Linked DNA regions of Saccharomyces cerevisiae S288C. The protein of the gene in region 2 purifies or fractionates together with the protein of the main gene of each other region. This does not show direct contact. Each region holds a gene or a part of one and is shown on either strand. Other genes may lie near its edges.

The links.
Region 1: the proteins of ISD11 (region 2) and ICL2 purify together in Saccharomyces cerevisiae (affinity purification with mass spectrometry, with the first as the bait; one large-scale study listed by BioGRID). This does not show direct contact.

Annotation. Positions count from the first base shown.
Region 1 is NC_001148.4:566,617-571,013, forward strand, and holds ICL2 (methylisocitrate lyase ICL2), read right to left. Parts: upstream 2,381-4,397; coding exon 653-2,380; downstream 1-652. Other genes in the region: HAL1 (Hal1p), read right to left, coding at 1-55; REC8 (Rec8p), read right to left, coding at 2,720-4,397. UniProt on the Saccharomyces cerevisiae protein: Catalyzes the formation of pyruvate and succinate from 2-methylisocitrate during the metabolism of endogenous propionyl-CoA. Does not act on isocitrate.
Region 2 is NC_001137.3:248,928-251,674, reverse strand, and holds ISD11 (Isd11p), read right to left. Parts: upstream 958-2,747; coding exon 673-957; downstream 1-672.

The DNA.
Region 1 (4,397 bases), on a different chromosome or scaffold from region 2:
CATACATCAAGTTTTTGAGAGTGTAGTCATGCAATCCTAAATCTTTGAAATGCATCTGATCTATTTGTTTCTGTATTTCTCTTTTCTTGAGTTATATAAACGGAATGATTAGTAGTTTGGCAGAATTTATAGCAAGTATTAAATAGTTGAATACCTCAATATTCTCCATAATAAACGCCATATCGTACATAAAGGCTAAAACAAGAATGCCTGATACCGTTCTGCTTTTTGTTTTATCTTTCCCTATATTTTCTTTCCCTTTTGATGCTTTACGTAATTTTTCCCGGCATATGTGAGCTTCCTAATAGACTCTATTTTTATTTTTCCCTTTCAAAGTGCGAGAGAAATACACACAACCAGCCTACGCTTATTTTCACCCATACCGTCATACGCCATATGATATATAATGTGAAACAAACGCGGGGAAGAGCGCGACACGACAGCTTAGCAGGGGCATTCCACGCAACACCTGAAACTTTAAGTAAAACTGTTTCTGCGAGGATATCTTGGCAAAACAAACACTAACTTTCGAACTAAATATAGTGATCGTGGTCATAAATTAATAAAAAGAGGATAAATAGAGATAAAAGAGATATGTGACTAAGTTGCTGGCAATATGTATTATTTATACTTTTATCTTCTTGAAGCGTATTCAAAATTGCGTTTCGGTAAAGCTCTCACCAGATGTACTTAAAGTTTGGGATGAAGCACCGTTTTGGACAACTTTCATTAAGGAATCAACATATTCTGCACCAGACCATAGCTGGTGTGTCATGATATCACAATTAGTCTCCTTTTCCCGTTTTTGCACTTTTTCGACGTATGCTTTCATTCCGTCACTTTGGAAGCTATTGGCTAATTCCCAGAATGATACTCCATCTGAATGCAGACCGGCAAGGGAAACCAGTTGCAACGTGAAGCCTTCTTTTGCCAAGTCCCATACGAAGGATTTTAATGCCTTATCATCAAAGCCGTGAGCGCTCCAATTGAAACTAGGAGATAAGTTATATACTAGCTTGGTAGCTGGAAGTTGTTTATGAATTTTTCTTGAAAATGAGCGTGCCTGCTCCAGGTCAGGAGTTTTCGTTTCCAGCCAAATCATATCAGAATATGGGGCAAACACCAAAGATCTTCTAATAGCTGCTTCAATACAACCGTTAAACATGTAATATCCCTCTTTGGTCCTCGGAGCATCCCAGTCAAATATAATTTTCTTTAGTGGTGTCACTTCTTGAGCTAAAAGTTTCATTTCTCTTAAGCTTAGGTATGCTCTACCCAGCTTGTTTACCATAAGGTCTTCCTTCTTTTCTTTATAGCTTTCAAACTCGCTTGCCGTAAACTGCTTTTCTAAGGCCTCTTCAAATGTAAACAGCTCATTTTCATGGTACCATTCTTTTTCCATGTCAGCAATGGCGGAGTTGGGAATTTTTTTGTCCTCCATCTCAATCAATTTTTCGCTCCAAGGCACCACGTTATCTCTTATTATACCCCTAATGAATTCGTGGTCTCTCGGATCACTGCTTGAACTCAACAGCTTACCATTACAGGAATCTGTTCTTGCAATAACCAAATTTTCTGTCCCCATGATATCCCATTGAAACCTGGTGGAAATCAATCTCATAAGATGTGTTGCTGTGGGCACCAAAACAGCCCCACTTAGATGGCCACACCTTTTGCCTCCCACCATCTGATCTTCAAGATGAATACCAGCAGCCCCTTTCTCCGCAAACAACTTAGCAACTTTCATTACAGTCGTTGGGCCACCGTGACCCATGTCTGCGTCCGCGATAATTGGTTTTAAATAATCAACAGGAGTAGAACCTTTGATGGAGGCCTCCAAGAAAGCCTTTCGATCGTGCAATTGCTGCGCCTTGAATATTCTCTCCACTTGATTCGGCACAGTATCGTATGGATAATCGCCAAAATCCGGCGATACTTCATTTGTAGATCCAACTAATGTGGAAGAACAAGCCCAACCAGATATGTAAGCAACTTTGATATTTCTGCAACGGGCCAACTGACTCATTTGTACAGGATCGATAACTCCCAACGTGTGAAGTGGAGTACCATTCTTGAAATTCTCTTCTAGTAAGTTGAACAGCTTTCGAGCTTGATAAGATGAAGGATAAATTGAAGTATTAGCAGGAAGGCTGCCCCGATGCTTTACAACATCCGTAGCTGAGTATGGACGACTGATATTCTTAAATCTGGCTGATTCCCACCATTCTTCTACTTTACTTGATTCCGAGAACACGAAGTCTTTAGTACTGCTTGCCCCGTTGAAAGATCTTCGCAGTGACTTGTCTGATGACAAAACCAGCTTCTTCAGTGTTCCCGTAGTTTTTCTATTGAAAGTTTTGTTGTTAATCATTGTAATCATCGGCGAAATACTAGAAAAGTCGAAATCGATATTATTATCGGCGCTGTAGCTTCTTTAGGCCACTAGTACTTTTATAAGCTCTTCAACCGCAACAAAAGTTAAGAAATAAGAGAGTTATTCTTAAGCCCATTTTTTACATTATATAGTGTACGTATGATATCGCTAGCATGATGTTAGTGTTTCGGCGCTTCTAATTGAAGAGCATATCCTTTTCTTCTCCAATGCACTTTTATTTCTTTCCCCGCAAGCATATTCGGCCCGGATCTCGGACTTGGATCATTAACCTGAGGACAGCGGCTAGTAACCGCTGTCGCTCATATGGAAGGAGAAAATAAAAATTCAGGCATATACAATTATTTCGTCCTCTCTTCTCAGTTTAAGATCTTTAGTTACCGCATCTGCAACAGGATATTCGTTCAACTTGACCATCCCTTTCGTAGCCAAATTCAGTAAGGATAGGAAGGCACTGGCGGCTATCTGTCTGCTGACACCTCTTTCTACATCATCAAAGTTAGCTCCCGTTTGAGCTTCGCCCATGCGGCTTGGGATGATGTCAACCAACAGCATCTTTCTCTTGAAAGGCGGATTGGAGCGCGTTGTTCTTCCGACAACAATTGATCTTTCTTTGATGTAATCGTAGAATTTTTTAGTTTGATAATCCAGAATGACGTCTTGAAAATTTGTTTTGTCCTGCTGCAAATTTTGCTGAGAGCCATCAGAAAAACAACTGTTGCTGGAATCGTCTTCCTCGGCAAAATTCTGTTCAGATGGCCCGACTCTCCTTCTGAGAGCACCAACTATATCTTCATTGAAACCACTAGACCTGGTTGAGTTTCTGGTATGACTTCTTCCAAAACTTGAAGGAGGTAGATTCAAATTAAAATCTAGGATGTTACCTTGAGAGTTTTCTTCAATATAGTGCCCATCTTCCAAATCCTCATTAATTTGTTCAAGGTTTAAAAGTAAATTATCATTTTCCATATCGGAAGAATAATTATCGTTCTTATTATTGCGAAAACTTTTCCTACCATATTCGTGACTTCTGGTACTACTTGAGCTTTGGGTTGATACTAAAGAATGTGCTCTTTTTCTCCCTCTTTCAACTGAACTAAAACCTTGGGGATATAAGTCCCATTCGCTAGTCTTTATATTGGAAAAGTCGTTAAATATACTTAACCAATTTGTTGAAAAAAATTCTTCCTCACCACATGACCTTACCAAACTACTTATGTTAGAGGTGAGAAAATTTTGGCCGGTTAGTTTTCTAATCCTGTTTTTTTCCATTAAGTGACTGTAATTTCCATGGTTGAATTTGAGAACTTCATTTGGATAACTCGTTTTGGCATCAAATTGTACCTTAGAAAATTGCCCACCTACATCGGCGCGATGTCCTCTTTGCATTCTGGTGTTAAGTTTCTGTTGAAGATCGTTTTCTTCTTCAGAAGCCTGCGCTTCTAACCCCAATTCGTAGTCTTTGAGATTGGCTACCGGCCCTTCATTTTCAACTGATGTATCTTCTCCTCCATTACTGTTATTTTCATTATCGTTCTCAAAATTCAACACCAATTCATCTCCTTGATAATTAAACTTGAAATCGTTTCCATCCTTCTGTGAACTTGAGTGAGAGCCTAAAGGTGTCCCCTGATGGCTCACTATATCATCTAAGTCCAGGTTAAAGTCCACATCAACGGGAATTTCATCCAGCGGAAAAGAATTTCTAACGTTAGATCCTAGATTACTTTGCGCGTCTGAGTTAGTCATGTCCCCATGAAGCTCGAACCTGTTAGAATTACTTAACTCATTGATGTAGTCTTGTCTCCTTATTGATTTAGCTTCCTCAATAAAAGATACATTATCTTGGAGAGTAGTGTTAAGAAACTCCAGTGCGGGAACTTTAGTAATATCATATAAGGGATCGTCATCGAAAAAAACGCATTCTTCCCAGGTGTAATTATTGTTTTTGTTTCCTATAATACTGTTATTACTATTCAATCCATTAATCCTCGTAGACTTATTT
Region 2 (2,747 bases):
AAGAGTGCTAAAGAATGACACAAGAAAACAGTTGGCTCTTCGTGTTGTAAACGGAAGAGAACGGCTTCCAAGTGATGACTTGATTAATATATAAGCGAATTTTTTTTTTTTTTCACTTTTACCTAAGAAGTTTATCCGATGGAATGGTCCGAAAAAAGAAGATGCAACTATTACGCACATAAAGTAGGTGTAAGATCGCCCGATACAAACAATAAATAAGCAAATACTCATTTTATTGCATACTTCGGAAACTTTATGCCTGATGTAAAAGAATCCAAGCAATTCATAGGATCTCTCATTGCATCAGCTTGTTATCATACCGTAAAGACATCTCACCTCAGAGTGGGCTTATGTTTTAGTTATAGCGTTTTATATACAAGCTATAAACTCTCCTCTTATAGTCCCATGTGGGTTGAAGAAAAGAAAAGAAAAGAAAAATCTTCTACCAAAAAAGAAATGCTATTGATATTAAGGAAGTAAATTACATGATCTAATTGAAGTCCAACCATGCAAAGTATCGGTCGAAAATTAGGAATATCATCTAATAATATCTTTTCCAAATTAAAGGCGGCCACCTCTCTATAAGATATAACCATACGAATTTCCTGACGTGAGAAGGAAAAAATTACTGGAAAGTTCTTTCTTACATGCAATGACCAGTTAGGCCAGGTTTTAGTGTTTTCTTCCTTGCAATGGTTCTACGACCAGCCTGTCAAATGTGTACATCTGAGAAATAACAGACTGTCTTTTCAAGACACCTAAGTCGTTCTTAGCTTCCTTAAATAGGTTCATTAACACTTTTGGGTCTTGCTGATTCATGTTCTTTCTGAAAGTAGTCCTTGTTTTACTTAAAAAGTATTCCCTGAAGTTGTAATTATTGAATTGATTAGCATTCTTGATGAATTCCTTGTATAAAGACAACACCTGCCTTCTTGTTGGAGCTGTAAATCCAGGCATTTCTCTTCTTTCAAAAGGTGATTCCAAGTTCCCTATACTGCAGATAAAAATGGGAATAAAACTGCTATCCAAACTTCACTTGTTACCTTAGGCTCCGTAAAGTTACTGTGTAATTATATCAATTCCTCAATCATTTTTCTCCGCCGCTTATAAATGAATGAGAATAAATAGACTGCTATTACCCGGAAAGCGGGTGTTTCTCCAATAAATGCATTGTTTAATAATAAGTGGGTAATACAATATTGTTTGGATTTGATGGAAATAGCTATTGCTTTATCTACTTTACTGTGGACATTTGGGAACTAAAAAAACCTCTTTAACCAATATATTCAGCATATATTATGTAAAAATGAATAAAAAAGGTCCTACCCGGATTCGAACCGGGGTTGTCCGGATCAAAACCGAAAGTGATAACCACTACACTATAGGACCAGTACAACTGTAAATTGTTGTATCTCAAAATGAGATACGTCAGTATGACAATACGTCATCCTAAACGTTCATAAAACACAGATGAAACAACCTTATAACAAAACGAACAACATGAGATAAAACCCGGCCTTCCCTAGCTGAACTACCCAAACGTATAAATGCCTGAACAATTAGTTTAGATCCGAGATTCCGCGCTTCCACCACTTAATATGATTCATATTTTATATAATATATAAGATAAGTAACATTCCGTGAATTAATCTGATAAACTGTTTTGACAACTGGTTACTTCCCTAAGACTGTTTATATTAGGATTGTCAAGACACTCCGGTATTACTCGAGCCCGTAATACAACATAAATTTAGCCGTAAAAAAATCAACTAACCCTACAGTAAACTAAACGTAGTACTTTGACACCGATAAACAGGTGAAATATTGAAAAATCGGCAAAAAAATACATAATTATTAGCACTTTACTGTTATTGAACATTATGATATCAGGTATACAAGATATTAGGTATACAAGGTATACCTGAGAAACTGGTGAATAATTCGATAATTGTTGGCATTCCATTGTTGGGAGAGGCTATTATATCATGTATACAGAATATAGTAGAAGTTCTCCCCAAGAATATAGGAATCCTCAAAATGAAATCGATATCTCTACATAGTGATACAACGATTATTCCTCATTCCGTTTCATATGTTTCATTATCCTATTAGATTACATTTCAACTTTCACTAGATTTTAATACTTATAACACATTTTTAAGCAGCATGTGATAATATTCAGGTAACATTAATAATACTAAGCAGATGACATTGGAATTTCGTTACAACAATACCTCTAATATTGCTTCTGCCGAAATCAAATTATGATAAGAACCAATCATCATCCATCGTCTAATATTGTAAACTAGTATACCATCATATACGGTATAAGAAGATAATATAAATTGAGAGACAGCCATCAAAAATTGATGGAAACTGAAATGTAATCTAATAGGATAATGAAAGACAAAGTATAACGGGAAGGAAGATAAAGTAACACCATCGATTCTCTTTTGTGAATTCCTATAACGTCGGGAGAATTGCTTGTATACTATGTATACCTAATGTTATAGGATTCGGCAACAATGCAATCCGAACAATTATCAAATTACTCGCCAGTTTCTCAGGTATATATATTATCCTGAATGTTCTCTCCCAGGAGTATGGACCCTTAAAAGGCAAATCAATAATCTTAATATAATGTTTTAATTGTTTTTCTTTTTCTACGTTTCTGAAAATTACGATTAATCCATTCTATTAAATTGTCAACTCTGCGTTATTCCTTCACCAAATTTGAATACGAATCA